Canis lupus familiaris: one gene and its partner. The protein of the gene in region 2 interacts with the protein of the main gene of each other region in a biochemical or structural test. Links are inferred from orthologs where the notes say so. Each region holds a gene or a part of one and is shown on either strand. Other genes may lie near its edges.

What was found. The genes of interacting proteins can lie anywhere in the genome.
Region 1: the proteins of SIAH1 (region 2) and POU2AF1 form a complex in vitro, tested with the Homo sapiens proteins (2 studies listed by BioGRID). The link is inferred for Canis lupus familiaris from reciprocal best matches to the Homo sapiens genes SIAH1 and POU2AF1.

Annotation. Positions count from the first base shown.
Region 1 is NC_049226.1:21,705,577-21,709,806, forward strand, and holds the start of POU2AF1 (POU domain class 2-associating factor 1), read left to right. Parts: upstream 1-1,427; 5' UTR 1,428-1,954; coding exon 1,955-1,970; intron 1,971-4,230. UniProt on the Homo sapiens protein: Transcriptional coactivator that specifically associates with either POU2F1/OCT1 or POU2F2/OCT2. It boosts the POU2F1/OCT1 mediated promoter activity and to a lesser extent, that of POU2F2/OCT2. It recognizes the POU domains of POU2F1/OCT1 and POU2F2/OCT2.
Region 2 is NC_049223.1:65,986,624-65,990,644, reverse strand, and holds the start of SIAH1 (E3 ubiquitin-protein ligase SIAH1), read right to left. Parts: upstream 2,807-4,021; 5' UTR 2,310-2,806; coding exon 2,219-2,309; intron 1-2,218. UniProt on the Homo sapiens protein: E3 ubiquitin-protein ligase that mediates ubiquitination and subsequent proteasomal degradation of target proteins.

The DNA of each region.
Region 1 (4,230 bases), on a different chromosome or scaffold from region 2:
TATATATGGTCATTGATATCCAAGTCTTTGCTGGAAGCACTGAGCTGAGCTGGAATCTGCTTCCCGAGCTTCAATGCTGTCAGAGGTAGCAGGGCTTAGAGATAGGCATGATGGTGGGCTTACCTACCGACATTTTTTGTTTTTACCTGCTGTTGTATAAGATTTGATTTGTCAGCTCACCTCTAGCTTGTCTTCTTCCTTCCTTCTTGGAGAGGGGACTATTATCCCAGGTCTTCCATTGATCTGTTCTAGCTTTTAAACATGGCTGTCATTTGGCTTTCATTGACTTCAACTTAACGAGTATCTGTCAGTGTGATTATTTAAAATTCTGACTCTAGTAAGATGGGCTTGGGTCTGACAACCAGCCTATCACCTAATAGCCCTGTGACACTGAGCCAATTAAACTTCCTCAGCATCTGTTTCTCTGAGACATATGGATAGAAGTTTCCTCACCGAGTTGTGGTAACTTGATCAGATAATGTAGTTTTAAGACTTAACCTAGAGCTTGGTGCCTAGGAAGTAGTTGTTATTATGAGTGCTTCATGGAAATCATTATGCTAGGCTGTGAGAAGAGGCCAAGATAAATAAGAAAAAGTTCTTAATTTCATAGAACTTGGAGAAATAGGACAAAACTCAGAGCAGTGTGAGGTAGGACCAGTGAGGTCACATAGCCTCCTAAGAACCCTGTGAGACAGTCAGAGGACTGCTTCTTCATTTTATAAACAAGGAAATGGAGATTCAGAATTATCTGACTTGGTGAAGACACAGCCAGTGAGTGGCACAGCCTTGCTGGGACCTCACCTCTCTCTAGACTGAGCCAGGCCAGATGGATGTGCCTCAGTTTCCAGTGGAAAGAGTTGTGTCAGATGGCTCTGGGGCAGTGTGGGAGGCAGAGCTGCAAGGCCCCGGACCTGCCCTAAGGGGCTGTAGTCAGGGAGTCTTGACCCCAGTGATTGGGTCACTGGGGCCTGAACATGTGGCATCAGATACATGGTGGCAGGGGGCTTCCAAACTGGGAGGGAGTCCACGGCCTAACCCGCATATGCTGTGAGGTGGTGAGCCTCACTACGTTTCCTTTGAGAAGCTTCATGCTAATAGGTGGGTGAGTACTAGGAAGGAGGCCTTGTTCATATTATATGGTTAAAGAGCATGGGCATCTTCTCTTCCCTTCCCTGGGTGAGTTGGCCTCTTTCTCCATGGGCATATGGACCATTGGAACCAGCGTGCCCCATATTTAAGCGTGATTAAGCCTCGCAATTTTGGTAATGGCTGGTGGGCCAGGGAGGGGCTATTGTGTTTCAAAATGGAATAAACAGAAAAGCAGTATTAAAAGAATGAAGAGGTTGTTTAGTGAGGCTTGAAGAGACTACAGGTGTTTCCTCCTGTGTTGAGAACCAGTGGCCCCTGGGAATTGCATTTCCCGTTGAGCAGGGCCCATGGCGGACTGAGTCCTGCTGCCATGCCTGTGGTATAGAAACCTGAATGGGCACCGTAGAATATCCAGAGTCTTCCAGGGGTCTTTGAGACTCACCCTGGGTGTGTGGGGATCCAAGACCCGACACGCGTGCTCGCACAGCTCACTCTCACAGCCGCGTTCCCACTCACCACAGTACCGGCCTGCAGTGTGGGGCAGCCTCTGGAGGACCACGGCCCCCTGTGTGGTGGTGGCGTTCAGATCCGGCTGGCTGGCTCTGTGAGCCAGTGGTGGGCCTCCGAGGGCGCACACAGTGGGGAGACAGGCAGCCTGGCCTGAGGAAAAAGTGCGCCCGTGCCTGAGGTGGGAGGATGTGATGACGCGGTGCCCCCGCGCAGCGGGAACTCAGGCCTTTAAAAAGCTGAGGAAACAGCCTCTGAGCAAGCAGTGGCTCCCCTGGAGGAAAGCACACCCGGGTCTCACATTCAAGAAGCCAAACTGTCTGCTTCAAAGAGAAAAGGCAACATCCTGTCACAGGCCATGCTCTGGCAAAAACGTAAGTGGTTTGACCGTGGCTGTCAGAGCCATGTCAGCACAGGTAGGGGCCGGGAGCCACCAGCCAGCCCGGGACTGAGAGGATGTGGTCGTGCTGGAGGCACCAGGGCTCTCTGGGTCCCCCACCCAGGGCAGCGCAGGGGTGAAGTGGGTGAGGGAGCCCAGTGGCAAAACCAACCTGTCAGAGGTGATGCTCATTTTCCAGGCTAGTGTTCCAAGGTGGGACAGCTCATCGCGTCTCCGCTCTGAGGCATGAATCACTGTGGTGAGGAGAGGCCAGTTCATGATTCACAAAACGAAAAGCCAAATGTGACATTGGTTTGGGGCTGAGAGGGGAAGGCCATGGGGTCCTTTACACGCGTGGCTTTATTTTTCACAAAGAGCTGCTCTTCAGCTGGTGGTTCAATTCCCTGGGCCTGTTCCTCTCTGAGTTACTTAGGTTTCTGCTGAAGGTGTCATCTGTTTCTGTGAGTGCACGGGGACAACGTGGAACCTTGGCTTTGTTGGGCAGCTCTTTGCTCGCTCCACTGTCCTGCCTCTTGGCATTCTTCCTGGCGCTCTGTGGCAAGCCTTGTGGGTCCCCCGTGCAGGGGGTCAGCGGGTTTATCTTTAACCTTAGTGTTTATCCCTGGGGTTGGATGGAACAACCGTGAACTTTATTTTCCATTATGTGGGATCAAACAGAGACTTGTGTTATTAATAATTGAAATCATACAGAGAGTATCTACAACATTCCCTTCTTGAAATAACAAAGCCAACTCAACAGCCTCCTGACAGTTGAACATTTTGGGGGCTCATTTATGTACTTCCTCAAGGAAGAAATATTACCAAAAAATTGCTCTGCCTTTTCAAAAGTGCTTAGGTCTTTAAAATGCCTTTTGATGAATTTATATACACCCTACTTCAAGCAAACTTAATATAAGAGAATCAAGATTTACAGAAAAGATAAATTGGGGAGTGTTTGTTTATTTTACAAAAAGATATTTTCTTGGAGGCCTTAAAGTTCTGAAAATATACTTTCATTGATTAAAACATAACTTACAGTTACTTTATCACCAACTCATTGTTTCCTTTATTTCTTGTGTAAATTCTCTGGAATTGAGCTTGTTAATATATAATTCGGAGGAGAGATTTCAAAATTTGCCAGATTGTGAAGTCTCATTGTTTGATACTGGCAAGATGCATTTTTTTTTTTTAAATAAAAAGAGATGAACTTTAATTTGGACTTGAGAGCTATGGAGTCCTTCCAAGATCATTAGAGGTATGCTAATAGGGGTGCTGTGCATAGAATCCTGAAGGGTAGAGCAGTAGTAGTTATTGCTGAGGGCAGGTGGGTGCTAAGGTCTTTACTGGAAGCTGCTGAGTGTCCAAATGACCTTACACTTAGAAGGCTGAATTGGTGGGTTTTATGTGAGCTCTTGAGGAACTTTTGCCTTGGTTCCTACCCATTCAAAGCAAGTAATTTTCCTTTTTATTTTTATTTTCTTAAATCTTTAGGTTTCTCATATGTAAAATGGGGCAAAAATAATACCCATTACTCAGAGCTACCCTTATCTTGGTAAGCTAAGATGCCACTGAAATGATGCTGGTTGCTTTGGTTTTGCTCAATATCTGTGATATGGGTTGCTTCCTTGCATTCATGGGCTGCCATATTCCCTACTCTTGAGTATACACTACATTTTTCCTTCCTTAATTCCTCTTAAGAGATGAGCATTTTTTTTTTTTTGTTTTGTTTTTTTTTCCCGAAGGAGATGGTGGAGGCATGTTTCTTGCTCACACTCTGGATGTCAGTCAGGTCCAACAAAACTCCATTTTAGGGAGACCACAATGTAAGCTGGTCAGTGGAATAACTGGAGTGAATGGTTCTACATGTTCATATGTACACAGTCAAGATTCTCTTTACTTGTCCTTCAGCACCCTAAAGGAAATTAGGAAAAGACCTGGGCACTGGACCCATCCCCTTACCCAGGATCCGAATAAAACCCTTGTCCAGGGCACTGAGGGCACCTGGGGGACTAGACCCTGTGGGAAAACCAGTAAAAACAGGGCAGCTTTGTCAGCCCACTTTGAATCACCTGATGGAAGGGCAGAGTTTGAAATCAGACATGAAGAGTGCTGAAAAGGCACTTTCTTTTTTCAGAAAACACCCTCGGGCCATGATCTGAAATGACTGTACTATGGCGTTCTGGAAAGGGTTAAGAAAACATCCACTTTTGTACATGTTGCCTTCTCCCTATCTGGCCCATGATCCCTGTGTGGGG
Region 2 (4,021 bases):
ATGCCAGAAATACTTAAGTTTTATGAAAAACATACTGTGAGCAAAAAGAGTAAAGGATTTAAAAAAAAAAAAAAACACAAATTACACGAATTATGCATTTTGAGTATTATAGGAGTTGTGGACCAGATAAAATCTCTTTTATCAAAATGTCCCAAAACACATGTAGAATTCCCTTTCTTAAAAAAATATTAAAAAATCCCTTTGGATGAATTATACAATATGGAATAAATGCTGAAACAGAAACCAGACTGTAAACAACTAAGAAACCCTGTGTTAAGTAGCTTAAGTTCAACCAAAGCTGTTTTCACTGAACTTTCCCCTCTCCCTCGGTGTTCAATTGCCCTGCTCAGTCCATTTCTTTTCCATTCTAAGGCAGCTCGAAACAGTGACAGGGAGTCAGTCACAAGTAATCCAAAGGATCACCCAGGACATCAGCTCTGATTAACTCCGCCTAATGGCAAACAGTTATCTGCTTCAGTTGTAGATTTAGGGATGGAGGGGTCGTCAGGGGAAGGATCTGCTGCCATCCCATCATGCACCTTCATCTATTAAGTCTTCCCCTAGAATCTGAACACCAGCTACGTGTTAATTAATCTTACTTCCTACTGATCAGTAGGCCCCATAATAAAGGTGGGAGAAAGAGAAGAGAAATGGAGGGTAATCTCAAAAGTTTTTAGGTACTCAGAGAAAGTACATCTTTCTACTCTATTTCCATTGCACAATAAAATTACATATAATTTGAAAAGGGGAAGAAAAGAAGTAATTAAAGAATAAAGATTAAAACACCAGAGACACATGCAACATTGGGGACAGTAAACAGGTTAAGAATTCCTTGTATCCTAGGGTTCACTAGTGTTGCTGAAGCATTCATCAGCACAGGAATAAATATTATTTGAGATAAATGTCATCTGGAAGAAACGACAACAATGTAACTAGTTTGTCAGGCTAAATGAAAGATAAAGCAAATAAATACCTTTCCCAGGAATCTACTTTGTTAGGATATGACAGGCCATATTTGTCTCAGGGATAACAAAAGATCAGTCTACTGATGTCCCAAGACTGTATTCCCAACAACTATACAAACCATATTTCTAACAAAACTAAAACTGAATGCCTCAAATTTAATGCTTCCTCAATGTAATCATTATTGCTGCAAAGAACCTGACTTTAAGAAAACAACGCTGGTTACCCATGTGACTATATAAAAGCAACTGGACTTCTAGATTACTCAAGGATAGACACCAAGTGAGGGTTGAAGGTGACAAAAAAAATAGTCCACTGTCAACTAAAGTTAATATTCTACAATTCAAGAGTCTACAAAAGTACAGAATTCCACCATAAGGTGGCTTGTCACATGGACTTAAGGGACAACGGGAATCAATTCTCATCACCTGAAACACTGTACAACCCAGGTGTTTGATTCTTTGTGAGTACGATGATCCATGCATTTTCTACCACTTGGAAACAACGGGCTCAGCCTTGCCAAAATGCCCCACGTATATGCTGTATGCCTGTCTCGTGGTCCATTTTATACTGCTCACTTATGTGAGCAATGTTAGAATTGGAAAGTGGCTCCCTGCACACAAAACAGTCTAAACCACTGATGCCTTTTCAAATTACTAAACCAAACAAGCTAATCACATCAAGGAACAGTAAACTCGGCTTGTATTCAAAATAATAGAACTAGGAAAATATAAGCAAGAAAAATACTATCGTTTCATTTCCAGACCGAGCAAATAACTATACATAATCATCAATCATTCAGGCTTACATTCCAATATTATCTTTATTACTTTTGCAAACATTGTAAAAAAAACAAAAAACAAAAAACAAAAAAACAGTTTAAATCTCTAAAGAGTGAAAACAAGTGAAATGAGGCCGGTATTTCTTGCGAATGGAGGTATTACAGGACAGAAGGTGCTAAAACCTCCCAAAGCACCAAAGGTGGAACCCAGCTCCATCTTCAAACAAAAAGAACCCCAACCACAGAGCAGCCCTGCAGTAGGAACCACGGACTCAAGTGTCTTCAGACAACCCTGCAGGAGTGATGACGTAACCTGAAGCTTGGTTTAAACAGAGAAAAGTACAGTAGATCAAAAGAAACAGCAATGCAAACTAGAGCTCAATTACATTGCAGCCACTCCCTGATCCCGATTCCCCCAGCTCACAACTTTTCCCGGTTCATACTTTAAGCATCCCAGTCTCTTGGTGTCAATACCTTTTCTCTTCCTTGTCCCAGCTGCTGGCAGACATGTGAGCAAGACGCCCCTCCAGGAGTACGGAAAAGGTAAGGGAGACTTCCCGGTCATGAGAAGTCAGGCGGCTCATAGCCCTTCCCCCAGGAGCAAACACGATTTGTAACAGAGGCCCTGCTGGATGGACACGTTCTGCTCCTAAGCACGTCGGAGTTCAAGTCTTCAAGCAGCGAAGGTAAGCGCCCTGCTCTAGGATCCCCCATTCACTCCTCCGAAGCACCGGCTGCCGCAGCAGCAGAGGAACGAAGCCTCTCCCGTCCCCTCAGGAGTCCACCACACCTCCCCGCGAGCTCCAATTCGCCTGCGTTTCCAAAAATGGGCGCCATCACCGGAGCTGTCCTCCGCTGGGCCCTCAACCGCCTGCCCTGGAAGTTTGTCTTCCCCACATTCACTAGCCCGCCAGCGTGGGTGAAGGATGGGGCTGCAGGGTGCGCGGGGGCTGGTCAGGCGCACCCCGGAGCCAGCTCGGAGCTGCCGCAGGGTCCGGCCCGCCGGAGAGCCACGCGGGGCCCAGGGCTGGGCCTGGCGGTGCTGGGGGAGCCTGCTCCAGCCCGCAGCGCCCGCCGGCCTCCGCTCGCAGCGCCCAGCCCAGCCCAGCCCAGCCCAGCCGCAGCGAGCGCGGGGCGGGGCCGGCGGGGCCTGCGGGGCCGGACAGGGCGGGGCGGGGCGGGGCCGGCGCGGTGGTCACGCCCGCAAGCCCCGCCCCCCAGCCCAGGGCCGCTGGGGCGCTGCCCCGCACAACCCAGACCCTGCCCTCGACCCCAGGCAACACTGCAACCTCACCCATTTCCACAAGCTTACATTTAGTTCGAAACATGTCTTTCTGTAGAAAACAGATGCTGCCAATTCTGTATGATTTCAACCTAAGACCTACATAGAGTATATGAGAATTACGTGGCCAGAAAAGTGCTCTTCTCCTGGTTAACCATGTGTGAACTGTGCTCATAGAGTAAAAGCACTCTCCCCACTTCGTTCACTATATACTGGGCGTCAACGACCCGATTTCCTCAATTCTAACTCACTCCTCCACTTCTATCCCTGGTGACATCATACTTGAAACTCCTTCTCTTCCTTCGAATAGATTGCAGTGAGAGTAGTAAACACCCGTAACTCTATTAAACTCCTTCAACCTCCAAACTGAGATTATATTCTCTTCCCAGTCTGGGAAAACCATCTTAAATGGCCTCATTAAACAGAGAAGCTTGTGTTTTTAAAGAAGCATTACACGGGCCCCAATAAAGTCCTGGGCCTCAGATTTGCCCTGCGTCAGGTGGTACACTCAGGGGTTTAACCTGTCATTATATCATGCTTATAGGGCAGCCTTTAAACGCACAGCAGGAGCTCATGGTGGGAATGAACCCTGTGCAGTAAATTGTAGATTACCCATTTTCCAAATCAAATTTTAGTTCCAATCACTTCCAGACCCTATTGTATTCAGTCATTTCAACCTCACGTTAATATTAGGCTACATGAAACATCATTGGGAATAGAAATATGGATGAAGTTAGATAAAGTCTGCTCACTGACAAATATAAATTATTATTACCTACATTTTCATTTCCTAATACATTCACCCTAGAGCGGTCTCAGGCTGATAGGGCAGACGACTTCAAATGTTTTAGGCATCCCTGCCTTTCCAGAGTTAAAACTGAACCTAAATGTATAAAACAAGTCAAAGAGAAGGAATGATGGGGGGGAGGGGGGATCACTTTTCCCAAACTTCCGAAAGAGGTTACAGAGCCCTACAGAGTCTCTGAAAACCATTA